Canis lupus familiaris: one gene and its partner. Each later gene encodes a partner of the first gene's protein in a complex. Links are inferred from orthologs where the notes say so. Each region holds a gene or a part of one and is shown in the gene's direction. Other genes may lie near its edges. The genes, in order: CINP and SPATA5L1.

Evidence for each region.
Region 2: CINP (region 1) and SPATA5L1 share a complex: the UniProt entries of both Homo sapiens proteins name them as parts of the 55LCC heterohexameric ATPase complex. The link is inferred for Canis lupus familiaris from reciprocal best matches to the Homo sapiens genes CINP and AFG2B.

Annotation. Positions count from the first base shown.
Region 1 is NC_049229.1:70,731,588-70,746,609, reverse strand, and holds the start of CINP (cyclin-dependent kinase 2-interacting protein), read left to right. Parts: upstream 1-6,119; 5' UTR 6,120-6,255; coding exon 6,256-6,262; intron 6,263-15,022. UniProt on the Homo sapiens protein: Component of the DNA replication complex, which interacts with two kinases, CDK2 and CDC7, thereby providing a functional and physical link between CDK2 and CDC7 during firing of the origins of replication.
Region 2 is NC_049251.1:12,045,163-12,060,015, forward strand, and holds the start of SPATA5L1 (spermatogenesis-associated protein 5-like protein 1), read left to right. Parts: upstream 1-7,122; coding exon 7,123-8,217; intron 8,218-9,858; coding exon 9,859-10,044; intron 10,045-14,853. UniProt on the Homo sapiens protein: ATP-dependent chaperone part of the 55LCC heterohexameric ATPase complex which is chromatin-associated and promotes replisome proteostasis to maintain replication fork progression and genome stability.

The DNA of each region.
Region 1 (15,022 bases):
TGACATGATCATCTATGTAGAAAGTCTGAAAAAATCAACAAAAAACTCCTGACACTAATAAGCAATTATAGCAAGGTTACAATACAAACTTAACATACAAAAGCCAACTACTTTCCCAAAACCAGCTATGAACAAGTGGAATTTGAAATTAAAAACATAATTCCATTTACATTAGCATTCCCCAGATTGAAATACTTACATATAAATCTAACAAAATATGTATAAGGTCAATATGAGGAAAATTACAAAACTCTCATGAACAAAATCAGAGAACTATACATAGAAAGATATCCCATGTTCATAGACAGGCAGATTCAATATTGTCCAGGTGTCAATTCTTCCCAATATGATCTACAGATTCGATGCAATCCCAGTCAAAATCCCAAGTAAATTATTTTGTGGATATCAACAGAACTATTTTAAAGTTTATATCAAGAGGCAAAGAACCAGAAAAGCCAACATATTGAAGGAGAAGAACAAAGTTACTGAAACCAACTGCCAACATAAAAGCTGCAGTAATCAAAACAGTGTGGTATAGGGAAAAACAAATAAATCAACAGAACAAAATAGCCCAGAAATAGACTTGCACAAATATAGTTAACTGATCCTTAACAAAGGAGAAAAGGCAATACAATGGAGCAAAGACAGTCTTTCCAACAAATAGTGCCCAAAAAACTGGACATCCACATGCAAAAAAATTGAATCTAGACACAGACCTTATACCCTTCATAAAAATTAATGCAAAATGGATTACAGATTTAAATGTAAAACACAAAACTATAAAACTCCTACAAGAAAACATAGGAGAGGGGCGCCTGGGTGGCTCAGTCAGTTAAGTGTCTACCCCAAGCTCAGGTCGTGATCCTGTAGTCCTGGGATTGAGCCCTATGTCAGGCAATAAACTAGACTTCATTAAAACAAAAAAGCTCTTGGGGATCCCTGGGTGGCTCAGTGGTTTAGTGCCTGCCATCGGCCCAGGACATGATCCTGGAGACCCAGGATCAAGTCCCGCATCAGGCTCCCTGCATGGAGCCTGCTTCTCGCTCTCCCTGTGTCTCTGCCTCTCTCTCTCTCTTTGTGTCTCTCACGAATAAATAAATAAAATCTTAAAAAAAAAAAAAAAACTAAACTAAAAAGCTCCACAAAAGACAGTCTCAAGGGAACGAGAAGACAATACACAAACTGGGAGAAAATATTTGCAAAAGACACACCAGGGGATCCCTGGGTGGCGGGGATCCCTGGGTGGCGCAGCGGTTTGGCGCCTGCCTTTGGCCCAGGGCGCGATCCTGGAGACCCGGGATCGAATCCCGCGTCGGGCTCCCGGTGCATGGAGCCTGCTTCTCTCTCTGCCTGTGTCTCTGCCTCTCTCTCTCTCTCTCTCTCTCTGTGTATGACTATCATAAATAAAAAATTAAAAAAAAAAAAAAAGACACACCAGACAAAGGACCATTACCCAAAATATACAAAAAACTCTTAAAACTCAACAAGAAACAATCAGAAGATATACAGATGGCAAATAAGCATATGAAAAGGTGTTCTATATCATATGTCATCAGAGAAATGCAAATTAAAATGAGATACACGCCTATTAAAATAGCCAAAATTCCGAACACAGACAACACCGAATGCCTATAAGGATGTGGTGCAATGAGGACTCTCATTCATTGCTGGTAGGAATGTGAAGTGGCACAGCCCCTTTGAAGACAATTTGGTGTTTTGTTTTGTTTTTTTTTACAAAATTAAACATAATCTGGGGCACTTAGCTGGCACAATCTGTAGAGCATGCAATTCTCAATCTTGGGGTTCTAAGTTCGAGTCCCATATTGGGCATAGTATCTACAAAAAAAAAAAAAAGAAAAGAAAAGAAAACCCTAAACTAAACATAATCTTATTGTATCACCCAGCAATTATATTCCTTGGTTTTTATCCAAAGGAGTTAAAAACTTATGTTCATACGCAAACCTTCACCCAGATATTTATAGCAGCTTTATTCATAAATGTCAAAATCTGTAAGCAACCAAGATGTCCTTTAGTAGGTGAATGTATAAATAAACTGCGGTACATCAGATGATGAAATTCTATTCAGCATTAAAAAGACACTGGCTATTAAGCCATGAAAAGAAAGGAGCCTTAAATGCATATTACTAAGTGGAAGAAGCCAATCTGAAAAGGCTACATCCTGTATTATTCCAACTATGTAACATTCTGCATGAGGCAAAACTAGGGAGACAGTAAGGAGATCAATGGCCGTCAGGGGCTGTGGGGGGAGGAGAAGGGATGAATAAGCTGAATAAATGAAAGCACAGATTTTTAAGGCAGTGAAAATACTGATGCTATAATGACAGACGCCTGTCATACATTTGTCCAAGCCCACAGAACATACACCACCGAAAGTAAGCCCTAAAAGTAAATGGTGGAGTCCAGCTGATCATGATGTGTCAGTGTAGAGTCATCAATTGTAACAAAAGTCCTCACACTGATACTGGGGGAGATATGCATGGGGGGGGGGGGGCAGTGGTATATGAGAAATCTTCACACCTTGTCTTCAACTTTGCTGTGGACCTAAAACCGCTCTGAAAAAATAGTCTTTTTTTTTTTTTTTTTTAAGAATTATTTGAAAGAGAAATGGGTGGGTCTCATTGCTACCCATCCTATTCAAAATTCTTCTGGGGTTCCCCAGTGCTCGGAGAAAAACCAAATGCTTTCCTGGCTGCCCCTCAAGTCCCTGTCCCTCCCCACCTGGCCAAGCTCTTTTTAAAAATTTTTTTTTTTTTTTTTTAATTCATGATAGTCATAGAGAGAGGAGACAGAGGCAGAGACACAGGCAGAGGGAGAAGCGGGCTCCATGCCAGGAGCCCGACGTGGGACTCGATCCCAGGACTCCGGAATCGTGCCCTGGGCCAAAGGCAGGCGCTAAACCGCTGAGCCACCCAGGGATCCCCACCTGGCCAAGCTCTTGCTGCACTGACCCACTCTTTCCCTCCTCAGGCCTCTATGCCCTCAACTCCAGTGAACTTTCATCTCACCCACAAACCTGGCTTCACAAGGGCCGGCTTTGCTGAGCAGATGGCTTGCAGGTCTTTGGCCCCTCCTCCCTGTCATGTCATTTTGTGTATGTCCTTCATATTCTTATCACAATCTTTAGTCACTTCATCTGCTAAGCAGTTTAATGACCATCGCTCATGAAAATATACGCAACAGATGCAAACCCTAGTACTTAACAATATCTTTGGCACAGAGTAGATACTCAATAAAGATTTGTTGAATGAATAACAAAATGTTAACTTCAGGTCTTACTGCAAAAGAATATTCTCAATCCAATCTTTAAAATCAATAAGGCGGGCAGCCCAGGTGGCTCAGCGGTTTAGCGCCACCTTCAGCCCAGGGCCTGATCCTGGAGACCAGGAATCGAGTCCCATGTCGGGCTCTCTACATAGAGCCTGCTTCCCCCTCTGCCTGTGTCTCTGCCTCTCTCTCTCTCACTCTCTCTAATGAATAAATAAATAATATCTTTAAAAAAAATTGTCTGGGGGTGCCTGGATGGGGTAATCAGGCATCTGACTCTTGATTTTGGCTTGGCTCCTGATCTCGGAGTGGTGAGATCCAGCCCCATGCTGGGCTCTGCACTCAGCACAGGGTCTACTTGAGACTCTCTCCTCTGCCCCTCCCCCTGTATGCATACTCTCTCTCTCTCAAATAAATAAATCTTTAAAAAAAAAAAAAGATCTGTACTTAGCTTGATGCCAGGCCACTCTTCCTCCCACACACTCTACACTGCAGCTGCAATGAGCTTCTCCCCACAGTCCCTGAACATACCATGGCCTATGCCTTTGCAAAGCCCCCCCCCCCCAACACACCCTGTAAGAAGTACTTCTCCCCTAGGAAACCTTCAGACTCCCTCTGACACTTAGTTTGTCTTTCTCTGCTGTCAGAGAACACTGAGCACCTCATTATCACACAGCAGTCCATCCTTTGTTTTCCAACTTCTCTAATGGACTCTTTGTGGACTTCACCCGGGTCCTTCTAGTCTACATTCCTTGTGGTGCTTCCAAAGACCAACACAGTATGGTCAATACTGTACTCGGCAACTATTTGTTAAACTCTCAAAACACCTTGCCAGGACTCCCCAGGTATGACAGCCCAAATATACATCCACTGTTATGCAAAAATTCACTGGTCTCTTAAGTCCAGGCCCAAATAACACATGCGTTTAAACTGAACACACACTTTGAACAACTGCTCACTTCTACCTCGGGTCCACAGAGCTGTTAACTACTCCCTCCTGATTCTACCAAGCTCCTTGTGCTTCACTGTATCTAGAAATCTCTCCATGCTTGTTTTCATTATGTGTACAACTGATACCTGATTTGTCCTTCATTTTTCCAAGTTCAATCAACTGATGCTGTTTCCTTCTTTTTTTCCCCCAAGGGCCAGGAACCATTTTGTCCAAACTATCCAGAGGCTAATATAAAATCCAAACTTGAAGTGTTACCTTCCTAGGAGAAAACTGGAAAACAAATCAGTAGAAGCCAGTCTTCTACTGAGAAAGAGAATGTGGGGCAGCGCGGGTGGCCCAGCGGTTTAGCGCCACCTGCAGCCCAGGGCGTGATCCTGGAGACCGGGGATCGAGTCCCACGTCGGGCTCTTTGTATGGTGCCTGCTTCTCCCTCTGCCTGTGTCTCTGCCTCTCTCTCTGTCTCAATAAATAAATAAAAATCTTAAAAAAAAAAAAAAAGAGAAAGACAATGTGGCTCCAAAATAACTTAAACCTCTGAAAACCACTTGCTAGTCACTCCTCCAGGAGGGCTATCCGTATCCCATCCTCTCCACCATAGTCTCAAGGCCAGTCCTGAAAACTCAGGGAGAGCATCCCCCCTATTTGTACAGGCTGGTTCTCTGGTTAGAAAGCTCCCTGAGGGCAGTGGGCAGCGACTGGGACCACAGCATCCCTAGAGCCTAGCACATGGCTGACATTCAAGGGACCCCGAATAATCCCTGGTGAATGAACGAACATGGGATGTAAGCTGACATTTCAAACAAAACAAAACAAAAAGCCCTACAAGGTCAGAAACCCTATCAAGGTGCACTTCACTGGGTGTGAGAAAACACAAAAAGCCCTGCAGCTTAGGAGACACTGGCGACTACACAGGATACAGTGGCTTTACTCCCAGATTCTGCTCATGCTGTGTTTGCAAGAAGTGCGCGGGGGTGGGTGGGGGTGGGGTCACCCCCAAGTGCAACGCATCACTCCAGCAGATAAAGCGTGCACCCAGGCTGGGACCCCACAGTCCCGCCAGCAGATGGAACAGAAGGAACAAACGTAACAGACTTAAGATTCCTGAGTGTCAGCGAGAGAGTGAGGAAGGATCCAGAGCAGGGAAGGGAAGTGGAAGTAGAGCATGTGGGCAACCACAGCAAGGGGCGACCCTTTAGTGAAGTGTATCAGGTGCCAGGCTCGGTGCTCAGCACTTCGCACGCACGGACCCACCTGATCCTCCCACCCAGGCGTAGAAGGCGTTATCATCCCCGTTTAACGGATGATAAAGCTGCAGCGCAGCGACGTGGCATCACCTGCGCCGAGCGCACGGCTGGGGGGTCTGAAGCCGGGGCACCCCCTCCTTGAAGCCTCCCAGGCCTTAAGGCAGGACTGGGGGGGGGGGGGCATTCACCCTCCTGAACACCTGGGGGTGCGTGCCCAGGTCTACGCCAGCAGCGCCAGGGCGCGGAGGGTCGGGGGACCGGGCGCAACGTCAGGCAGGCAGGCGCCGCGGGCGGGCCGGCAGGGGGACCGAGGACGCGGGACGGGGGATGAGGGATGACGGCCCAGGGATGAGGGATGAGGGATGAGGGATGAGGGCCCGGGGATGCGGCGGAGGACCGCCCAGCCTGGCGCCTCAGGTGCTGGCGCGCGGGCGAGACGGGCAGGGCGACCCCAGGCGCCGAGGCCAGGGAAGGGCGGCCCCGGGGAGGCCGAGGAAGGGGCGCGGAGGAAGGGGACTCACCTCCCGCGGCGGCCCCTCCGGACTCGTCGGCCGGGCCCGGCCGGAGGAGGCGGGGACGGACTCCGGGCCGCGGGGGCTGCCGGGAGCCCGTTCCCTAGGCAACCGCGCCAGGCCCAGCTGAGCGACAGGCGGGGGCTAGAGCGGCAGAGCCACAAGTGGCGGCCGGCCAGCGGCGCGGAGCGGAAGCACGTCAGCGCGCTTCCGGTAGGCGTGGGCGGGGCTTCGCGCTCCTTCCCGGGATACCTGCGGACGCATGGCAGGTGGGTGCGCGCGCGCGGGGGAGCGTCCTGCGGCTCGGCGGGCGGTCCCGGAGCCCACCGGCTTGACCGGGCCTCTGTGGTCTTCCCGCGTAGAACTACTGGATGTGTGCGAGGGAGTGTCAGCACATCCTGACCCCCCAAATTGTAATTGTCTTTGTAAACTAGCGCTAGCGGGGGTGCTCGGGTGCCAGGGCTTGCATGCCCAGCTCCTCCCAAAACCTTTCCCTGAGTTCCCCTCGGGATTACCCGCCGCACAGAGCCCTTTGCTTCTAATAAGAGCTGTCAATCGGCGAAGTGCTCGCTGCGTGCCGTGTGGTGCCCTTAGTGCTCTGTGGGTCAGCTCGTTTGAGCCTCACCTTGATCCCACGTAGTAACGTGCGCAGGTTGGGAGGATCAGGGAGGGAGCCGCTATGCTGAACCTCTCTGCTCTGTGCTGGGCCTCTCGTTCCTGGTCTCTTTCCCTCCTGGCCTGGGGTCCCTTGGAGTTAGATCTGTGGTTTGGGTTGCTAAATATGGAGCAGACGGAGAATGAATCAGATGTGGTCTTCGCCCTCAAGGAGCGCCTACTGCAGGAGAGAAACCCTTAGGAGATGATAGTGCAGGTGGTAAAAGCTATTTCTCCATTTAACACATTTCATTTGTCACCTACTGTGTGTCTAGGTTAGGAGAGGGAAACAAGACATAGTCACTATTCGGGTGGCCTCACAGTCCACCCAGCAAGTCTACCACACTAGTGAGTGTCGGTGATAGTTCAAGAAGAGGTGCGACATCTAGTGCAATGAGTCCTAACCCAACCTGGGAGATCCAGGAAGATTTCTTTGTGGAAGGAGTGGCTTTCTGAAAACCTAAATCAGATCATATCACTTTCCTACTCAAAGCTTATTGGTTCCTTTCCACTGACTTGGAATAAACCTAAACTCTTTATCTTAGTATGTAAGGTTCCATTTGCTTGACCGCTTCCTCACCCAGATCCCTCCCCACCACCCTTCCATTATAAGTGATGTGGGGTCATGGAGCACAACAGTCAAGAAAGAATTCTTGGGATGTTGCGTGGTGCAACTTAGTAAGTTTATTTAAGTAGCCTGGGGACAGAACCTGTGGGCAGAAAGGGCTGCATTTTTGCGGTATGAAGCTGGTGGTTATATGCTTAGTGGTCAAGGGGGAGGAGACATGCAGAGGGTATTATACATGTTTCCTTGAATTTCTACCCATAAAACTACTTTTGCAACATTTCTCTGGTGCTTATCATTCAGTTCGATATTAACTATCAGTGAGATTTACAGACAGTTATGAGACCCTTTAAGAATGTAGCAACCGGGATCCCTGAGTGGCGCAGGGGTTTGGCGCCTGCCTTTGGCCCAGGGCGCGATCCTGGAGACCCAGGATCGAATCCCACATCGGGCTCCCGGTGCATGGAGCCTGCTTCTCCCTCTGCCTGTGTCTCTGCCTCTCTCTCTCTCTCTCTCTTTGTGTGACTATCATAAATAAATTAATTAATTAATTACAAAAAAAAAAAAGAATGTAGCAACCAGGGGCACCTGGTTGGCTCAGTGGTTGAGCTAAGTCTTTGGCTTAGGTCGAGATCCCAGAGTCCTGGAATCAAGTCCCGCATCAGGCTTCCTACAGGAAGCCTGCTTCTCCCTCTGCCTATGTCTCTGCCTCTCTTTCTATGTCTCTCATGAATAAATAAATAAAATCTTTAAAAAAAGAAAAACCAAAAACTTAAAAAAAAAAAGAATGTAGCAACCAGCACGTTTTATTATTATTATTTTTTTTAACCAGTACATATTTGATCTTTGTTCAGAACTATGTAGACTAAAGGTCAGCCTTCTGGGCTAAAGGTGAACATTTTTCTGCTTCTGCCCTCATCGTAGATACACTGGCCTTGCTCAGTTTTTCAGACTCACCAAGCTCATTCTCACATTAGGACCCATACTGTTGACCTTTCAACAAGCCTAAATAACATCTCTTCAGGGGTTCACTCTAACACAAGACCCCATTTTCTTTTCTATCCGGGCACTTACCAAGATACAAATTGGTCATGGTCATTTGGTTGTCTATTATCCACCTCCTCTTTGGAAAGTAAGTTCCATGAAAATGGTCCTGGTATGATTCATTCAGTCATTTCATCCCCCGTGCCTGGCATATTGTTGGTTAGTGGTATAAGTAAAGAATGAAGGGAAAACCAATATGATCCTTAAATAAGCAGAGCCTTAAAGAATACTAGGAGTTAGCCAAGTGAGTGGAGACACACATGGCCAGGGGAAATATTCTAGGTCAAAGTCAGAACTTGTACAGAGCTAGCCCTAAGGCATGGAGAGCAAGCTGGGGGAAGCTGGAGAAGTGGTAGAAAGGACTTGCATAACAGGCTGTGATATTGTGGTTTATAATAAGAAAATATTTGGTCTTTTTCTTGTTCTTGGCACAGAGGTAAAACCCTTGGTGTTTCTGCAGTGTGAGAATGAGCAGGATGTCTTGTTATGTTGATAAGGTGACTTTTGGGAAGGTGACCTTTGGATGGGGGCTGGTTCCCCCCTACAGAAACCAATCATGTGATTATTAAAGGGTTAGAATTTTCAGCCCCACCTGACTCCCCTGTGCCTCCAGGGGAGAGGGGCTGGAGGTTCAATCAATGGGCACTGCCCAGTGACTTAATCAACCATGCCTATGCAATGAAGCCTCCATAAAAGCTGACAAGGATGGGATTTGGGGAGCTCTAGGTTGATGAACATGTGGAGATTTGAGGAGAATGGTGTACTACTCACAGAGCATGGAGACTCTATGCCCCTTTCCGCATACCTTGTCCCCTGTATCTCTTCCATCTGGCTCGTTCTGATGGAAAGAAAAATAAATGTATACTTACATTTCATGTTTGCTCTCCAACTAAGACCATAAAAATCTTAGTTTGTTAAGACTTATTAAACTAAAGTTTGTTCATTTTAAACAGAGCAAAGAGCAATTTTATTTAAGTAAAAAAAAAAAAAAAAATTATTCAACCACAGCAGAGGAATTGCAATTTGGGATAGGCAAGCTACAGTGAACTATAGGCAAGTTTGAAGAGACAAATGGAAGGCCAGCATTCATTAGGTTTCAGGGGGAAACTGGGAAGGGTTACTGTAAACAAGTGTATTGGAGAAGAACAAGAGTTTGAGGTCTAGTGGTTTCTGCACAGTGGTTTCTCCCTTGGCTGTAGGCGACAGTTAATGCATTATTACTGGGGCAGGGAGGGAGGGCTCTTCCTTTTCTTAGAAGCAGGAAATAAAATTCCTATGTGAAATATGTCCTCCGTTGTTGAGATAATTCTTATCTTTTTATTCCTCCTTGTTGTGCAGGGCCGCAGCAAGTGGTAACATGTGTAAGCACCCCCCTCTCCAGGGCTTTCTGACTCTATTTTACAGGAGATTTCCTTTATTTTCACATTTCTGCCTTTAGATCAAGGTCTTTTCTCAAAAGCATCACTTTATCAAGAGTCAGGTTTTCCGTATATAGTGGCTTTTGTCCCTGGGTGCCAGGAAGGACCTTTCTGGTTGGAAGGAAAGTGCATAATGACTAGAAACTACTGAGGCCACCTGTGAGTAACAAGAAAGAGTACGAGGGAGGACTCAGCATTTCCCATCTAAAATCTCTTTCTTACGAGGTTAAGTGTTGGAGAGCATCTGGAAGCCCTCAGCTAGCATCACACTGTTTGGTACATCTGTTCCTGCAAAGTTTTGACAGGCAATGGGTACAAAGTTTAGAAGTAATCATACAAAGCAGAATTAAAAGTAATATGACAAATCCAGGATGATGGTTCTAAACCAGGAGCTCAAACCTGAAGGTAACCAGCTAAATAGATCAAAAGACCAGAGGTCATTGGGTGAAATTTGTTGTAATCAGAGGTCTCCTTCCCTGATCTTGTGTAACTGGGTTTCTCTTTCTCCAGACATATTTATCCAGGTGCAACAAACAGGTGGTATTTGCCATTGCATAAATGCCTCCTTGTTCAGCAAGTAGATTGTCCAAAGCTTCCTTTAGCCAACAAGTCATGTGATCATTGTCGAGCTGTTCTTGCTTTGGCTGTAGAATCGGCTACCTCTTCTAATGTTAGGGAGAGATTTCTGATCATGTGTTCATTTGCTCTTATTCCAACTACAGAGGAAAAGCCTCCCTACAGAGGCGAAACCAGGAGTCGTACAGCCCCCTGAAGTTCCCAGTTAAGAGAGCCTTGGAGGCCTAATGTGGCAGGTCAGCGGAGGCCTCTGGTTTGTTATTGTTTATTTGTTATAAACAATAAACATTGACTTCCAAGTTGCCAACTGTCTAAGCATTTGTATGCCTATGGAAAATGCTGTCCACTGTAAACAAAAATGAAACCAGGTGGTACCCAGGGGACTCCAGCTAAGGTCTTATTATTGATAGTTGGAATTTCCCGATTGACCTTTTCAATCCAGGGATGAAAGGAATTGGGATGACATTCTATGAGAGGCCATCCCTTCATTAAGAAATCTTTTCTAGGGGATCCCTGGGTGGCACAGCGGTTTAGCGCCTGCCTTTGGCCCAGGGCGCGATCCTGGAGACCCGGGATCGAGTCCCACATCGGGCTCCCGGTGCATGGAGCCTGCTTCTCCCTCTGCCTATGTCTCTGCCTCTCTCTCTCTCTCTCACTGTGTGCCTATCATAAATAAATAAAATTAAAAAAAAAAGAAATCTTTTCTAAAAATTTGCAAAGGGGCATAAACTTGTTTATATTTCCTTTAGGTGTAGGAGACCTCACTTAGATAAGGAAAAGAATGTGGGATTGTACAATTAACAAAGATGGAGGGATTTAACTGAGCTAGTGTGGTTACGACTGGGGAAAGGCTGAAGCAAATATGGGAATGCCTGGTATAATAGCCTAACTTGATAGGTAACATCTATAGGCTTGTGGGTGTAATCAACAGTGGCATTTGGCACTAGAAGGAAATTGGTTATAGGTAAGACCAGTCTCCAATATTGTGAACAGATCAGAGCTTCTGGTGACAGATCCAATAGTCAGGTTTCCTCCTTCTGCAGGCGATTGGGAAATGCGATTGGGGCATTGACTTTCCAAGAAAAAGAGGGTGAGGGGCGTCTGGGTGGCTCACTCAGTTGGGCGTCCAACTCTTGGTTTTGTCTCAGGTCATGATCTCTGGGGTTGTGAGGTAGAGCCACATGTTGGGCTCCATGCGGGGTATAGAGCCTGCTTGAGATCCTCTCTCTCCTTCTCCTCCCCACCCCCACCACTTGTATGCATGCTCTTTCTCTCAAAAAAAAAAAAAAAGAAAAGAAAAGAGAGAAAGAAGAAGAAAGAGGAGGGGATCCCTGGGAGCTCAGCAGTTTAGCACCTGCCTTTGGCCCAGGGCGCAATCCTGGAGTCCTGGGATCGAGTCCCGCGTCGGACTCCCGGCATGGAGCCTGCTTCTCCCTCCTCCTGTGTCTCTGCCTCTCTCTATATATATATCTATCAAAAATAAACAAATCTTTTTAAAAAAAAAGAAGAAGAAGAAGAAAGAGGGGGTGAAGTAAGAGTGAGAAGAGCAAAGGAAAGAATGTATATGTAGGTCTGGTCTGGTAATCCCAGGAAAGCTATCTGCTTCAGTGGCCTGCTTCAATTCCTGCAAATTTGTATTTTCGTGTCACCAGTTGGTGTGCAGGTCCAGTCAGGGTTTGGTGCTTTCTTTGGATGTGACAAATGAATCCAAAAGTCTATTCATTTTTCTAGTAGACAAGATCTCCAGGTTGTAGCTGTGATGTTTGAGGTCTTTGTCTCCCAGGAGCGTGCTGTAAAAGGATTGCTCTACTAAAGCATAGTTATTTTCAATAGAAGTAGTAAGGCTTTTACAGTATTGAAGTATGTTTCCTTTTATCACGTGTGGATCAAAAGAAGCAAGAGCCAAGTACATTGGGTGTCCTGTGATTATATCAAAGGGTAAGAGTTGATGAATTCCGAAAGGAGTAGACCTGAGATTTAAAATGACCATTGGCGGTACCTTTGGCCAAAGTAGTTTACAGATTTTTGCCAGCTACCTCTTAATGGTGCCAGTTCAATTGGTCCTGAGGATTGAGAGTGGTAAATATAGTGAGAGTGTTGTAAAACCAGCCACGTAGCACAGACTGGTCGCATCACCTGACCAGTGAAGAGTTCCCTAGTCACTGTGAAGTCCCAGGGTGGTCCTCCAGGTAGGAATGATCTTTTCTCTTAGAATTTTAGCTGCAGAGGCGGCAGTAGCCTGCCCACAAGGGAAAACCTCAGTTCAGTGGGAAAACATACAATCTATGGCTAAAACATATGTATCCATGAGATGGGGGAGCTGTAATAAAATCCACTCACCAAACCTCAAATGGTCCATAGGGCAATTAAAATTCCCGGGTACAGTGTGGACAGGTTTCCCAGGATTGCAGTTTGGGCAGTTGGGGACAAGCAAAGTAGGCACCTTTTATGGCCTTATTAATATTCCCCACCAGTAGTGATTTACAAAGGTCATTTTATGAGCAGAACAATGACGGTGTGCACAGTGGTCAGTAATAGGAATTTTAGAGTCTCTGGCGGGACTGGACTATTATTTGGCCCAGAGTTTTCTCTTTTTATCAAACTAACAATTACCAGATTTCCAATTTTGTTTTTCCTTTTCTGGGGCCATCTCTAGCCAGTTCTTCTAGATTGTCATTTGGGGAAACATCCCTTTGGACCACAACAGAGGTATGGTTGTTGGTTCCTTTGAGAAGAGCATTCTTGGTGGAAATATCACTGAGATGGTTCCCTTTAGCCTCCAGGGAGTCAAGTGTGGAATGCCCAGGAACCTTTATCAGAGCAGGGGGGCCTGGGTGTCTACAACTCTTAATTTTGGTTCACGTCATGATCTCAGCGTCATGAGATCAAGCCCCACGTCAGACTCTGTGCTGGGCATGGAGCCTGCTTAAAATTATCTCTCTCCCTCTTCCCCCCACCCCTTTATGCTCTCTCTCTCTCTAATAAAAATAATAATAGCCAGAGCAGCTGATAGGAGTATAGCACCTAATAAATTTTGGACATAAAATCCATTTGAAAATTTCTCCCTGCTAAAAGTGGGAAGCCGCATTGTTTCCATAATCACAAAATTGTGAGTCACTCTGAAGGCATATCTGCTGTCAGAGTAAATGTAGGCAGTTGTGCCCTTGGTGAGCATGCCGTGTGAGGGTGTACAGCTCAGCTTGTTGGAGAGAAGTAGCCTAAGGCAAAAGTATTGCTCAGTTACTTCAAAGGGAGTTGCAAGTACATATCCAGCACAACATTCGCCATTTCTACCTCTCACCTAAAAACCATCAGGGAACCATGAGAAGTCAGTGTCATGCAAAGGAGCCTCCTGTCAGTCATCATGGAGGGGAGTCACGATCTGCAGAGTTGGCATGAGCAGGGAGGTGACTGCAGCGAGGAGTTCTGGGAGGAGAGGTTAGGAAGAGGCTTTCATAGGAGGGGGACAACTGGCCAGAGGGTGAAGGGTGTTCAGGAGGGCTTCTACTGTCCAGGGCATGGGATGGCTACTGGGGTCCCAGACTGTCTCCTCACTGCCCTTAGCCAAAAGGGTGGTGGTGGGAATGGCTCTGAGGTATGGTGCCTGGTCCCACAGGGCCTGTTGTTGGCTGTAATGCCCTATGGGGTTGATGGTGATCCCCATACCTGGGAGATCCACCATTACCTTGGGTGGGTAATCCCAGGGAGTTCCCTTCCTTTTCATATATAGGTGGGAAAAAGGAAAGTTGATAATTGGGATGGCCAAGGGCAGGGGGATTTATTAAGCTTTCTTTTAGGTATTAAAAGCTAAGTCTTAAAAAAAAAAAAAAAAAAAAAAAAAAAGCTAAGTCTTCTTGACCTTCCCAAGTACTGGGATCAAGAATCTCTTTCCAATAGGGACGCCTGGGTGGCTCAGCAGTTTAGCACTTGCCTTCGGCCCAGGGCGTGATCCTGGAGTCCCGGGATTTTAACTAGAAGGGGAAGATCCCAGTTTGACCCATTAATGAACATAGAGTTAAAAACTACCCATCTGGGCAGCCCCAGTGGCCCAGCAGTTTAGCGCTGCCTTCAGCCCGGGGTGTGATCCTGGAGACCCGGGATCAAGTCCCACGTCGGGCTCCCTGCATGGAGCCTGCTTCTCCCTCTGCCTGTGTCTCTTCCTCTGTGTGTCTGTCATGAATAAATAAATAAAATCTTAAAAAAAAAAAAAAACTACCCATTGGATACTTTTATCCAAATAAAACTATCCAAATCCAAGTGGATACAGTGTTTAAAGGAAGACCAGAGTTTTCTTTAAAAACGGTTTGGAGGGGCGCCTGGGCAGCTCAATTGGTTAAGCATCCAACTCTTGAGTTTAGCTAGGGTCATGATCTCAGGGTCATGAGATTGAGTATTGCATCAGGCTCATGCTGAGTGTGGAGTCTGCTTAAGATTTTCTCTCTTTCTTTCTGCCTAGCCCTGTCCCATCTGTACACATGCATGCACACACTGTCTCTCTCCCTCAAAAAAAGAAAAGAAAGAAAAGAAAAGAAGAAAAGAAAAGAAAAGAAAAGAAAAGAAAAGAAAAGAAAAGAAAAGAAAAACCAAAAAAACAACAATTTGGAGCCAGCTGTAATAATCACACATGAGTTCATTGGGCTTTTGGGTACAAGCTTGAATCTTAGTGCATTCAGCAGGTTTTGGGCATCCCTTAGCGCCCGCAGGAACTCAATAATATAGCAAGGCAGGGGATAGTGTCCCATCTATGGTGCTAAAGATCTTTCCATGCGGCC
Region 2 (14,853 bases), on another chromosome or scaffold:
AAACAAAACACACACACAACACAAAAAGCTGGCCTCCTTTTAATATCTCCGACATAGCAATCATGCTCCACCCCCCTCATCCCACCCCCACCTCACCCCCACCCCCCAGGGCATTGGCACAGCCCTTCCTCTAACTAGTACACCCTGCCTCCCATCCCCAATTCTTCTGCCAGTTTCATCCTAAATGCTGCTTCCTCAGAGAGGCCCTTCCTGCTTCCCTGTGTAAAGTAGTCTTTTTCTGTTGTATTTTTTCATCACCTTTGATTATCTGATTTATTTGCTTATTGAGTCCTTTCATGTGACTTCCCCACTAAATTATACGTTTTATGAGGGCAAGAATTACCTTTTTTTTTTTTAAACTGCCATACACTAAGCCTCCAGGACAGTAAGTAGTACAAAGTAGATGTTCAATAAATAATTTTTAAAAAAATCATGAATATTAATACTTTCATTAGTTGAACAGTTTGAACCAACATCATAGAGGATAGTTATCTTAAAGACTTCTAAAAAATGGGATCCCTGGGTGGCGCAGCGGTTTAGCGCCTGCCTTTGGCCCAGGGCGCGATCCTGGAGACCCAGGATCGAATCCCACATCGGGCTCCCGGTATATGGAGCCTGCTTCTCCCTCTGCCTATGTCTCTGCCTCTGTTTCTCTCTCTCTGTGTGACTATCATAAATAAATAAAAATTAAAAAAAAAAAAGACTTCTAAAAAATGATGAAACACGTAGTTTCTGGAAAATTTGCAAGAACAGACTTTACAAATGGTGTTCTGTGAACCATAGTCTGCAGGTCATTTGTAATCCAGCCAAGATTTCTGGTGGCTCTAATTGCCTCATGACTCTGTATCTTGTAAAGAATAATTCTAGTCTTGAGATATGAGAAAGACTAAAGATGTCCAATTTTAAAAAACTATTTCAACGAGGCCCTATTTTAGAGGGTTTTCATTACATACTTTAAGAAACTGTTTGGCATATTAGGTATCTGTGGAAATAAGTCACTAATATGTCTGCATGAACAGGTTGAGAGGAAAGCATTTGCAAATCATGCCTTTTCAAATGTGGTTAAATGATTCTCTGTACTTATCTATTACAACTCATAATCATTCCTACTGTTCAAAAATATTAGGGTTGAACACACATGAAAATGGAAACATAAGAAAGATTAGTATTCATGACTCACACTACTAACTTAACCATTTTCTTTAAATTTTTTACAATTACCGTGTTTCACATCCTGAAATATATTATTTAATACGTAATATTATTGATACTGAAGGCACAAAAATAACGTACAACCATTATTCTAAAAAATAAGCAGGTTCCAGTTGTATCTTTTGAAATTTAGACTTATAGCTAATGAAGAATGTTTAGAGTTAATTTAATATTAGATCGTAATAACCTTGAATGTAGTAAATAAAATGAAGAGGAACTATTTGTTAAATACATCTCTTCAAGAAAGCGTCACAAAAGGTTTTGTTTAGCAAGCATATTTGAAACAACTCAGAGCTAGAATTATTTCTAGGCTATCAAAAGATAAATTCATTTTGCTTGGATTTTGATCCACCAGTAAATTTGAATTGGGGAGAGTGTCATTTTGATATTTAATACAAGAATTATAACTTGGAAAGTGAGTTCTACATGGCCTGAGACATGTAGAAATTATGTGAAAATAAGTAACTGCATACACAACAGACCGTTTCACACACCTAGTGTGAATCTTGGGAAATCTAACAGAAGCCACAAATGAAACACTTCAATAGCAACAATCCCGTAGCCTTTGGGCATATTTGGTTTTGGACTCCCTCTAGTGGTTCCACCTTTTGGCACTTTAATTGGTACTCCATAGAATCACCAAATTTGGAGTCATATTAAAAACAAATAAGCAAAAGAACCACATAACTACTATTAGAATGGTTTTCGACAAGGAGAAAACTACATCATTGATCATAAAAGACTATTGTAATTTATCCTTGGTAGGATAAATGTGGACATTAAGATAGTTGAAATAATAGTGTTGCAAATGGTTCCACCTAAAGGGACTCAGTGAATTTCAATGGCTGACTGGAAAAGCTAGTTATCGTTCTGAGAGAGTGTGGATAAGGGCCAAAGGCCCAGAAACAAGACTCCTGGTTGCTTTTACTTGCAGCCTACGGTGAGAACTGGACCTTTTAGAGATAGGGTGAAGTAAATATTTCCTGGGTATATGGGCCTTATAAGGTCAGAGAGCCCAAAACAACATGTAGTTTCCTGGCATCAAATGCTGAAAGATCTTGATTTAATTTATTTATGTTGGCTTTGGTTATGGCTGTCAGCTATCTTATAAAAAGTCTCCTACCTCTTCCATGTAACCATACTCCAAAGATGAGGAGGAAGACTCATGTTTATTCCATTAACCTTTCACTTCCTGGATAGTTCTGCACTGTAGAACTATCTACTAACTAGTAGATATACATAAATCTACTAACTCTTTTATATGAGAGCTCTCCGCATAGTTAATACAGTTAAGTCTTCTTTCCTCTGCCCTCCCCTTTTCTTTGCTCCTCAAAGCTTCTTGGTACCAGAATAAAAGAACATCTGTGAAGTACAGGCCCTGTGATAGAATAACTTGATGGGTATTTTATTCACCCCTTCAGGGGTTAGTAAAAATATTGGCTTTTATTTCAGAAAATACAAAATTTTTCTTGAAAAGTTTGATTTTGGAGTCTTTGTTCTCCAAAAAGAACAGAAGGCAATAAGATAATGAGAAAGAAGAAAATGGTATGTAATGGGTGACTTACTCAGTTCAGAACCTCCCCATAGTATGCTTTTTCCTGATTCCTTTTAAGATGTTCCAGCACTGGGGATGTCTGGGTGGCTCAGTGGTTGAGCATCTGCCTTTGGCTTAGGTCGTGATCCCGGGGTCTTGGGATCAAGTCTCGCATCAGGCTCCCTGCAAGGAGCCTGCTTTTCCCTCTGTCTCTGTCTCTGCCTGTCTCTCTGTGACTCTCATGAATAAATAAAGAAAATCTTAAAAAAAAAAAAAAAAGATGTTCCAGCACTGGAGCTGGAAACATAACAACAGAAACCAGATAAATAAATGTGGAATCTAGAAGTCAGTCATAGTGTCTGCCCTGAGATTTGAGTAGGGTAGGGGGAACTGGCATTGGTCTTAAGATCCCAGGTCTCACAATACTTTCCATTAAGAAGACATTGCTATAGAGTCCACAATAGATTATTTGCATAAGCAGAGAGAAACCACCAGGCCCCAGTGACTTAAGCACTGTGCAATATGAATTTTGTAAAACATAAACTTGGGTTGCAGTGAAGTGCAAAAAATAGAGGTAGAGAGATGTAAGATAAAAACAAGGCATATTTTCTTGACTTTGAAGATATGCAGCTCTTTTTCCTGAACAGAATTTAAAAGGATAGGAAATATATTCCAGCTGATACAGAGGAAGAGTAATCCTCTAGAACAAACATTGTTAAAATGTCTATACTACCCAAAGCAATCTACAGATTAGTGCAATTCCTATCAAAATACCAACAGCATTTTTTTTCACAGAACTAGAACAAACAATCCTAAAATCTGTATAGAACCACAAAAGACCCTGAACACCCAAGGCAGCCTTAAAAAAGAAAAACAAAGCTAGAGGTATCACAAACCAGATTTCTTTCTTTTTTTAAAGATTTTATTTATTTATTTGAGAGAGAAGGAGCAGTAGGGAGGGGGCAGAGAGGCAGAGGAAGAGAGAGAAGCAGACTCCTCGCTGAGCAAGAAGCCCAATATGGGGCTCGATCCCAGGACCAGAGATCATGACCTGAGCCAAAGACAGATGCCTAACCGTCTGAGCCACCCAGGCACCCCCACAATTCCAGATTTCAAGTTATATTACAAAGCTGTAGTCATCAAAACAGTGTGGTACTGGCACAAAAATAGACACTTAGGTCAACAGAACAGACTAGAAAGCCCAGAAACAAATTCACAATTATATGGTCAATTAATATTCGATAGAGGCAAGAATATGCAATGGGAAAAAGATAATCTCTTCAACAAATGGTGTTGGAAATACTGGACCACTTTCTTAAAACCATACACAAAAATAAATTCAAAATGGATTAAGGACCTGAATGTGAGACCTGAAACTTTAAAAGTTCTTGAAGAGAGCACAGGTAGTAATTTCTCGGACATTAGCCATAACATCTTTCTAGATATGTCTCTTGAGGCATGGGAAATAAAAACAAAAATAAACTGTTGGGACTACATAAAAAAAAGTGCTTCTGCACAGCAAAGGAAACAATTAAAAAAAAAAAAACTAAAAGACAGCGGGTACCTGAGTGGCTCATTTGATTAAACGTCTACCTTTGGCTTAGGTCATGATCCCAGGGTCCTGGGATTGAGTCCCACGTTGGGCTCCCTGCTCAGTGGGGAGTCTGCTTCTTCCTCTCCCTCTCCCCCTCCTCCTGCTCATGCTGTCTCTCTCTCAAATATTTAAAAACAAACAAAAATAAAACTGAAGCCTAAAAGACAACCTACTGAAAGGGAGAAGATATTTGCAAGTGACATATCCAATAAAGAGTTAATATCCAAAATATACAGAGAACTGACACAACAACACCAAAAAATAAATAAATAAATAAACCAAATAATCCAATTAAAAAATGGGCAGAAGACATGAACAGACATTTCTACAAAGAAGATATACAGATAGAATCCATGAAAAGATGCTCAGTATCACTCATCAGGGAAATGCAAATCAAAACCACCATGAGATATCACCTCACACCTGTCAGAATGTCTAAAATAAAACACACGCACACACACACACACACACACACACACAAGAAGTAACAAGTGTTGGCAAGGATGTGGGGAAAAAGGAACCCCTGTGCACTTCTGGTGGGAATGCAAACTGATGTAGTCACTGTCGAAAGCAGTATGGAGGTTCCTCAAAAAACTAAAAATAAAACCACCTTATGATCCAGTAATCACACTACTCGGTGTTCACCCAAAGAATATGAAAACACTAATTTAAAAGGATATATGCATTATTGTAAATAGTATTTATAATAGCCAAATTATGGAAGCAGCCCATGTGTCCATCAATAGATGAATGGATAAAGTAGATGTGGTATATGTATGTAGTAGAATATTATTCAGCCATAAAAAAGAATAAAATCCTGCCATTTGCAACAACAGGGATGGAGCTAGAGAGTATAATGCTAAGCAACAGAAACCAGTCAGAGACAAATGCCATATGATTTCATTCAAATGTGGAATTTAAGAAACAAATTAACGAAGAAAAAAAAGGCAACCCCAAATACTCTTAAATATAGAGCACAAACTGATAGTTAGCAGAGAAGGGGTGGTGAGGGTGGGGTGGGATGGATGAAATAGGTGAAGGGGAGTAAGAGTACACTCATCTCAATGAGCACTAATATATGGAATTGTTGAATTACTATGTTGTATACCTGAAAATAATATAACACTGTATATTAAGTATACTGGAATTAAAATAAGTTTACAATTTTTTAAGTTAAAAAGAAAAAAGGAGTAATCCCCTGTGGGGAAGGGAGAACGAAGGTGGAAAGAGAATAGCAGGCAGTGGTCTTAATAATGTAGACAGGCATCCCCTCTAATACAGACCTCAGTACTGCTGTGCAGCAAATAGGCAATAAGCACCTATCACACCAACAGAAGAGGTTACCATCATGCTGTTGTCAAAGAACATTTAAAGAAGTGTAGGGAAGGAAAAATTCTCTCCCTGCCCTTCGAGATGGAAGAAGGGAGTAAGTCCTTCTTCCAGTTGGAGTAAGAATTAAATTTACACAAGACCGATTAAAAGGAGGAAACGCCTAAGTTTTATTATTATGTGCTCAGAGGCCCAGTAATGAAATCGAGACCAAATAAATAAATAAATAAACCAGGCAGAAAATTTTTATACAAAGAGACAATACATTTGTGAGGAATTGACAAGATAAAAAAAAAAAAAAAGATGTTTGGGAGCTTTAATTAGTGAGGAATTCTAAGTGGAATTTGGGCTGAGGTAGTAGGTTAGTAAAAAAAAAAAAAGTCACAAGGTTTGTTTCCACGGCTTTCTCCCCTTTCAAGTTCGTTATCTCTGGTGATGAGGATGTCTTCTTAGTACAGAGAGGGTACCTTTCACATGGAGGTTTCTTTCTCGCTTTCGGGGACAGGGGAGAGTCAGTGCCCTCGCACCAGCCGTTCCCCAGGTAGCTTCAATTCAAAATAATCAGTATGCCATTGCGGGCCAGTCTGGCCGGCCTGCCCTTGGCCCCCACAGGAGGAGAGCATGGAGCAGAATGTGCTGGTGTGCCACAGCTAGGTCAGGTGGCTGCGTTCCCTTCTTTCTCTCTCCCAGGGATTTAAAATGCTACGCTGTGCTTTTCCAGAGGAGGGGCGTGCCTGGACCTTCCCTGAACACGTAAGAACCCAGATCCAACGGAGGTACCAAGGCGGTATTTCTCAACTGCTCCAAGTCACCTTAGATATTAACATGAGGGCAGCCCGGGTGGCCCAGAGGTTTAGCGCCGCCTTCAACCCAGGGCGTGATCCTGGGGACCGGGGATCGAGTCCCGCATCGGGCTCCCTGCATGGAGCCTGCTTCTCCCTCTGCCTGTGTCTCTGCCTCTCTCTCTCTGTTTCTATGAATAAATAAAATCTTAAAAAAAAAAAAAAGATTTTAACATGAGAGCGCTCCAAAATATTGTGCCCGTAGGGACAGATGAGGATTCTTCCAAAGCGCTGGCGGTGATGCTCGAGTCTGAGCGCCAGGGACAGACGACTCTGCGGGGGACTCTCCAAATCACCTAGGTACATGGTTAAAGACCTCCTGAAACTAGCGTAGGAGGCCTCCCGGATACCCGTACCTAAGGCCTTTCCCATACGGGTCTGGAATGGGCCGCTGGGTTTAGTCGAAGAATCCGACACCGCCCCACCGGCAGTCGGAGCATCACCCAACTTCCCGATTGGCCCTTTCGGCCTCCGCTCCCCCGCTAGCGACGGAGGGCTGTCTCCGGCGCATGCGCGTCACCTGCTTCCGGCCGAGGAGCTGGTGTGCCGGCCCTTCCGGTCCGTGGGGAACTCCTTCCCCCAACTTTCCTCGGCTTGAGTGTGTGTGTGCAATGGCTCCGGACTCAGGTCCCCCTCCCGAAGAGCCGCTCTTGAAGGCGCTACCCTTAGACGCTAGGGACCGCGGCACCCAGCGCTGCCGCCTGGGCCCGGCCGCCCTCCGCGCCTTGGGCGCGCACCTGGGCTCGGCGGTGAAGATCTCTCTGCCCGACGGCGGCTCCTGTCTCTGCACCGCCTGGCTGCGGCGGGACCGAGCCGACGGCTTTGTGCAACTGGATCCGCAGTGTGCGAGCCCCGGGACGGCTGTGGGGGCCTCAGGGTTTCGGGGGAGCCTCAGCCTAAGCAGCCTCCGCCTGGTGCCCTGCCCGTCGCTGCGGCTCCTCACCGTGTGGCCGGTGTTGCGGGAGGGCGCGGACGCACCAGGTGCCCGGGATGCGGCCGCCGTGCTGGAGGCGGCGCAGGAGCTTCTGCGGAACCGACCGGTCTCCCGGGGCCACGTGGTGGCCGCTCCACCGGGGGCCCCCGGCCCGGTGGCCGCGCTGCACATCGTCCGCGGGGCGCCCAGCCCGGATCCGGCCGGCCTGGTCACGCCTCGCACCCGCATCAGCCTCAGCGAGGTGCCCCCGTCGGGAGCGGAGCCGCAGCCCGAGGCGCCCCTGGGGGGCCTCTCAGAGGCGGCCGACTCGCTCCGGGAGCTCCTCCGCCTCCCGCTCCGCTACCCCCGCACCTTGGCGGCCCTGGGGCTCGCGGTGCCGCGAGGGGTGCTCCTGGCGGGCCCCCCCGGAGTGGGCAAGACCCAGCTGGTGCGGGCGGTGGCCCGGGAAGCCGGCGCGGAGCTGCTGGCCGTGAGCGCCCCCGCGCTGCAGGGCGCGCGGCCCGGGGAGACCGAGGAGAACGTGAGGCGGGTGTTCGGGCGCGCGCGGGAGCTGGCCAGCCGCGGACCCACGCTTCTCTTCCTGGACGAGGTGGACGCCCTGTGCCCCCGGCGGGGCGGCGCGCACCGAGCCCCCGAGAGCCGCGCGGTGGCCCAGGTGCTGACGCTGCTGGATGGCATCCGTGGGGACCGGGACGTGGTGGTCGTGGCATCCACCAACCGGCCGGACGCTCTAGACCCAGCGCTGCGCAGACCGGGGAGATTTGACCGAGAGGTAATTAGGGCCGGGCTGTGCGCCCTAAGGCCCTGGATGGAACCTCGGCCTCTCCTGGCCTTGGGTGGTGGCCTCCGGCGTTTGCCACTTAGGCTTGGCAGTCAGTGAGGGTACAGTGGGGCCGTTTGTAATGCAGAGAGCACGTCCTCTGCCCTTACGGGATCTGTGAGCCTGGACCTGTTTTTCCCCAGAATCAAATTGTTCCGAGAAGCCAGGTGGCCGTTAGGATTAGTTTTGTGGTGCACATCCTGAAAATGAGTACCATCGGTACCGTTAATTTTTAAGGGAACTAGGTCAGCTGTGCGTGTATTACATTCTTAGGGATTTGGAATGAGAATTAAAGTAGGATGGCCTCAAGAAGTGTATTGAAATAAAAAGGGAAAAGGCAGGGAAGAACTAAATCAAAACAGGCATTAATTCTGGATTTGTTCATTCCTTGTCAGGAGGCCAGCATCCTGTCCCACAAGTGAGAAATTACCCACAGTTGCTCCCTGGGTTGCCAGGAAGATTTGAGTATTCAAAGCTGTCCTCTATTTCCTGAGCTTTAGTCCCAAGTTGATTTTTTTTTTTTTTAAGATTTTATTTATTCATGAGACACAGAGAACCAGAGACATAGGCAGAGGGTAAAGCAGGTTCCCCACAGGGAGCCGAATGAGGGACTTGATCCAAGGACCCCAGTTTCACCACCTGAGCCACCCAGACGCCCTTGATTCTTGATTAAATAGCTTGAATAGTGATTAATTTAAGTGATGCTTGAACTTTGTGTTAGGCTTCTAAAGAAAAGGATGATAGTTGCACACTTCTGATTAATCTCTGCAGAACTTGAGCACATTTCTTTTTTGCACCATCTAGTACTTGTCTCCTGAATCAACTCCATAAGGCCAGGGACCTAGACTGGTTTACTATTGCATCCCTGGCTCCCAGAACTTGATAGGTTCTAAAAAATAACAAAATATTGTTAATGATTATATGGAGGGCCCCCAGTTGACAATGGTTCGTCTTAATGGTTTTTCAACTTTACAGTGGTGTGAAAACCATACACATTCGGTAGAAAACGTATTTAGAATTTTTAATTCTGGTCTTTTGCCAGGCTAGCCGTATGCAGTAAGATGCTCTCTTGTGATGCTGGGCAGCCAGGAGATCATGAGGGTAAACAACCAACACATTGACAACTATTTTATACTCATACATTCTGTTTTACACTTTAGTACAGTATTCAATAAATTTTTTGAGATACTTAAAACTTTATTATAAAATAGGCTTTCTGCTAGTTGATTTTGCCCAACCATAGGCTAATGTAAATGCTCAGAATACATTTAAGTAAACTGAGCTGTGATACTCAGTAGGTTAGGTATGTTAAATGCTTTATCCACTTACTGTAATTCCAGCTTAACCGTGGATTTGTTGGGTTGTAACCCTATCTTAAGTTGAGGAAGCTCTGTACGTAATTTTCGTTGTATAACTATCTGGCCAGTGTTACTCCTCTGGAGTTTAATATATTCAGAATTTATGGTATGCTTAAGAGTACATCGTTCCAATTCCAAATTTGTTCACTAAGTTTTCACATTTGAGAGAATAAAAATATTACATAATATTTTAAACTGGAAACTTTTAATTTTTCTTTTTTTACTTTGCATATAGGTTGTCATTGGGACTCCCACGCTTAAACAAAGAAAGGCAATACTCCAAGTGATTACCTCAAAGATGCCCATCTCCAGTCAAGTGGATTTGAGTCTCCTTGCCGAAATGACAGTTGGCTATGTCGGTGCAGACTTGACTGCACTTTGTAGAGAGGCTGCCCTGCATGCTCTCCTTCACAGTGAGAAGGTAGGAAGTATTGATATATGACCATGTATGTTGATCTCTTCATTAATATAACAAACTAATTTGGGGATTAAACAAGTGGTAAGTACATTTTCTTGCTACTTTTGATACCTTCCACAGCTATTTCTTACATATTTTTTTACATCTCCTCTCTCTGGGACTGGCATATGGGGGGACAGAGGGCTGAGTCTTCTAGGTCTACCAGGGCATGTTCCCCCATTCCCATAGTAACTCCCTAGTGCTGAAGCCCAGAACAGCCAGGGAAAAGGATGGCCCCAGAAGAATCAAACATATATTTTTTTTAATTTTTAATTTTGTTTATTTTGAAGCAGTTTCAGGCTTAAAATTGCAGAAATAGTATACTTTACCCCGAGTTTCCAAATGTAACATTTTACCAGTTTTGCTTTATCTTTCTGTCTTCATCTGTGTTTTTATATATATTAGCATATAGATATATCTCTCTTCTTCTATGTATATATTTTGTGAAACATTTGAGAGTATACTGTAGTCATAATGGGCTTTTATCCTTCAAATCTTAAGTGTATATTTTCTAAAATCAAAGACTTTAATGACCATACAATTATCAAGATGAGGAAATTAATCCTGACACGATACTTTTACCCAGTATCTATAGACCTTATCTAAATTTCATTATCTGTCCCATTAATTTCCTTTATAGCAGAAATTTAAAAAGGAAAAAAGAATAATAGTAATCCTAGATTACGTATTGCATTTAGTTATGATTTCTTAGTATATTTTAATCTAGAACTATTCCTTAGTCTTTCTTTTATGCCTAACTTTTTAATTTTTTTTTTTTTAAGATTTTATTCATTTATTCATGACACAGAGAGAGAGAGAGAGAGAGGCAGAGACATAGGCAGAGGGAGAAACGGGCTCCGTGCAGGGAGCCTGATGTGGGATTTGATCCCGGGACTCCCTGAGCCAAAAGCAGACACTCAACCGCTGAGCCACCCAGGCATCCCTAATTTTTAATTTTTTAAAAAAAATTTTATTCATTTATTTGAGAGAAAGAGTGACAACATGAGTAGGGGGAGGAGCAGAGGGAAAGGGACAGACAGACTCTGCACTGAGCACAGAACCCAAGTGGGTCTCAGTCCTCTGACCCTTAGGATCATGACCTTAGCCAAAACCGAGAGTTGGACACTTAAGTGACTGAGCCACCCAGGCGTGTGGCTAACTTTTTAAGACTACATGTCATTTATTCTGTAGACTATCCCTTAGTTTGGGTTTGACTGGTGTTTCCTCATGATTTGATTCAGCTTTTGCATTTTTGGCAGGAGGAGCACAGAAATACTGTTCTCATTGCATCCGTTTTTTTCCTTATTAATAAATAAATATTTTGTAGGGAAAGTAACCTTTTCTAACCCAGGAGAAGATTGGACTCCTGGAATTTTTATTTAAATTTATCTTTGGTATTGAAATCTTTAATTCATGACTATTTTTTTTAAGATTTTATGTATTCATGAGAGAGAGAGAGAGAGGCAGAGACATAGGAAGAGGGAGAAGCAGGCTCCCTGGGAGGTACCTGATATGGGACCTGAATCTGGGACTCCGGGATCACGCCCTGAGCTGAAGGCAGACGCTCAACTGCTGAGCCACCCAGGCGTCCCCATGACTACCTTTCTTAAAAATATTTAGGATGTTAGCTTAAATATAGTAATTTTCAGCACCATGGATTGGAAAAATCTCTTCACCATGTATATAATAAGTAATCCTTAATCCCTAAACACCTTCAGAAAAAAATTAATTTTAGCCCCCAGAGGATTCTGGGACGAAGTTTACAATCTCTGTTGTAACTATTATAACATTAAAATTGCCCTTTGATCTTATAATTTTTAAAAACCAGTTTTGAATTAATTTCAATTATAAGAGGACAATTAATCCAAAATTTTGAAAACTTTTTACCTATGTAATTTACACCCTTGCTCATTTTCATTTATTTATTTATTTATTTATTTATTTTTAACTTTTATTTATTCATGATAGGCACACAGTGAGAGAGAGAGGCAGAGACACAGGCAGAGGGAGAAGCAGGCTCCATGCACCGGGAGCCCGACGTGGGATTCGATCCCGGATCTCCAGGATCGCGCCCTGGGCCAAAGGCAGGCGCCAAACCGCTGCGCCACCCAGGGATCCCTCATTTTCATTTATTTTTACATGTACGCTGAAGGTGGGGAAGGAGTTATGTGAACTTGTAAATTCTCTTCTGGATTTAGAACCAAAACTGCTGTCGGATCCCTGGGTGGCTCAGCAGTTTAGCACCTGCCTTCAGCCCAGGGCATGATCCTGGAGCCCCGGGATCAAGTCCCACATCAGGCTCCCAGCATGGAGCCAGCTTCTCCCTCTGCCTGTGTCTCTGCCTCTCTTTCTCTCTCTGTGTCTCTCATGAGTAAATAAATAAAAAAATATAAAAAAAAAACAAAAAACAAAACTGCTTGAACATTTAATGATACTTCTCATGCGTGGAGGTGTGAATATATGCCTTCTGAAGGGAGGATGAGAGTACCAGGGGCTGAAGGGAGATTTACACTTAGGATTCCCTCTGCTTTTGAAGTTCCAGGTTTGACCTTAAGCACCCTGGCTTAGGTGGACCAGCCAGCTGCTACTTCAGGAGCGGCCTGCCCAGGCATAGTTACCACAGGTGATGACTGAGTTCATAAACAACCAGGGGAAGTGGAAGGAAGAAAGGCAAAAAGGAAGAAGGGACAGGCATCTAGGAAGGTACTGGCTTCATCTTTTCCATCTTTACCCCTCAGGCAGCTGAGGAGCTGCTGCTGCTATCAGGGCAGACAGAGGATATGTTAAAGTTTGTGAAAAGGCTAAAAAAAGTCAGCTTTTTGTGAAGTACTCCCACTAAAGGATTTAGAATATAGTTTAATACATACACGTATATACACAGAGGGGAAAGAATTTTGTCTGTCTGAAAGGGTTATGACAATTAGGTGAAATAATGTACATATAAGTGATCTTTGTTGATGTTGCTTAAAAATTAATTAGTATTCAGGTACCCAACATTTAATACTCCTAGCCAGTTAGAAAAAAAAGAAAAAGCTGTTTAAAAAAATTACTTAATGGTGTTCTTTGTGAGAAATTAAACCAGATGAATACATTATAAAGAAAGTAAAAATTGCCTGAAATCTACCCCCCCAGAGATTATAATTTTTAGGAACATTGTTCAGAATAGCTCTATACATATATATACTCTTACATAATCTTCTATAAATGGGATAAAATAGTTTGTTGTTGAAAATGGAAATTTTTTGACAACTGTATGTTCAGAATTTGATATGAGGGCAAATCTCAAATATAATACAGGTATTACAAATACAAGCAGTTTTTAACAAATCTGCTTTACTAAAATGATAAAGGAAATTGCAAGAAAAATTCTCTAAAATATAATCTTAAAGCTGAACTTTCTTTTTTCTTTCTTTAAAAAGTTATTTATTTGAGAGAGAGAGAGAACATGCCATGGGGGGGAGGGTGGATGGGGGACAGAGGGAGAGAGAATCTTAAGCAGACTTCACACTGAGCTTGGAACCCAAGGTGGGGCTAGATCTCATGACCCGAGCTGAAACCAAGAACCCATGCTCCACCAACCACACCCACTCAGGCACCCTGAACACGGCATTTCCAAACATAACATAAAACCTAATGGCCAAAAAGGAAAATATTTATTAATTTGACCATTTGGGGATGGCAGAACAATACATAAATAAAGACAAGACAGACTGGGAAGAATTTATTTGAGACACAGGGTGTGCGGGAGGGAGAGAGAATCTCAAGGAGACTGCACTGCACGTGCCCCTCTCTGGGCTATGACAGAAAGACCAATTACCTTGATACAGGAAGAACTCTCACAAATCAACGTGAAAAGACCAACAATCCAAGAGAAAATGGGTAATAAAATATGAACAGGTAGTAGACAGCAAAGGATTACAAATAGCCAGTAAACATGAAAAATGCTCAACTTTACTTTCTTTAAAAATTAGTCTTTCAGGAGCGCCTGGGTAGTGCACCAACTCTTGGTGTCAGCTCAGGTCCTGATCTCAGGGTCATGAGATAGAGCCCAGAGAGGGGCATGCTCAGTACAGAGTCTCCTTGAGATGCTCTTTGCCTCTCCCTCTGCCCTTCTGCACACTGTCTCTCAAATAGATAAATGAATGAATGAATGAATGAATGAATGAATAAATAAATAAATAAATAAATAAATAAATAAATCTTAGTATCTGTTGCTTAAGCAGGCAATAAATAAATCTTTTTTAAAAAATTAGCCTTTTTCAGGTTTTAACTCTTTATTTTGAAATAATTAAAAAGTTTAGGGAAAGTTGCAAAATAGAGCACTCCCAATAAACCCTCCATCCAAATTCATCAATTTTTAACATTTTGCCAAATTAGCTTTATAATTCTCCTTTTCACTCCTCTGCCTCTAAATGTACATGTGCACATATATTACCTACTTTTTCTGAATCATTTGAGGACGAGTTGCATACATCATAACCCATTCATTATCCATTTCCTAAGAAAATGTATGTCCCCACATGTGACCACAGTATGGTTATGTGTAATCATATTTAGGAAATTTAATACGGATACAGAACCTCAGATCTACAGCCCATACTGTGATTTTTGGTGGTTGTCTTGATCCTTTTAGCATTTTTTACCCCTTTAGTACAGGATCTAGTTCAAGATAACATACTGCATTTAGTTTTTAGTTTCTTTTAATCTGTAATACTCCCGTAGCTTTTTTTTTTTTTTTTCAAGAGGGAGATAAAATGTTGCGGGGGGGGGGGG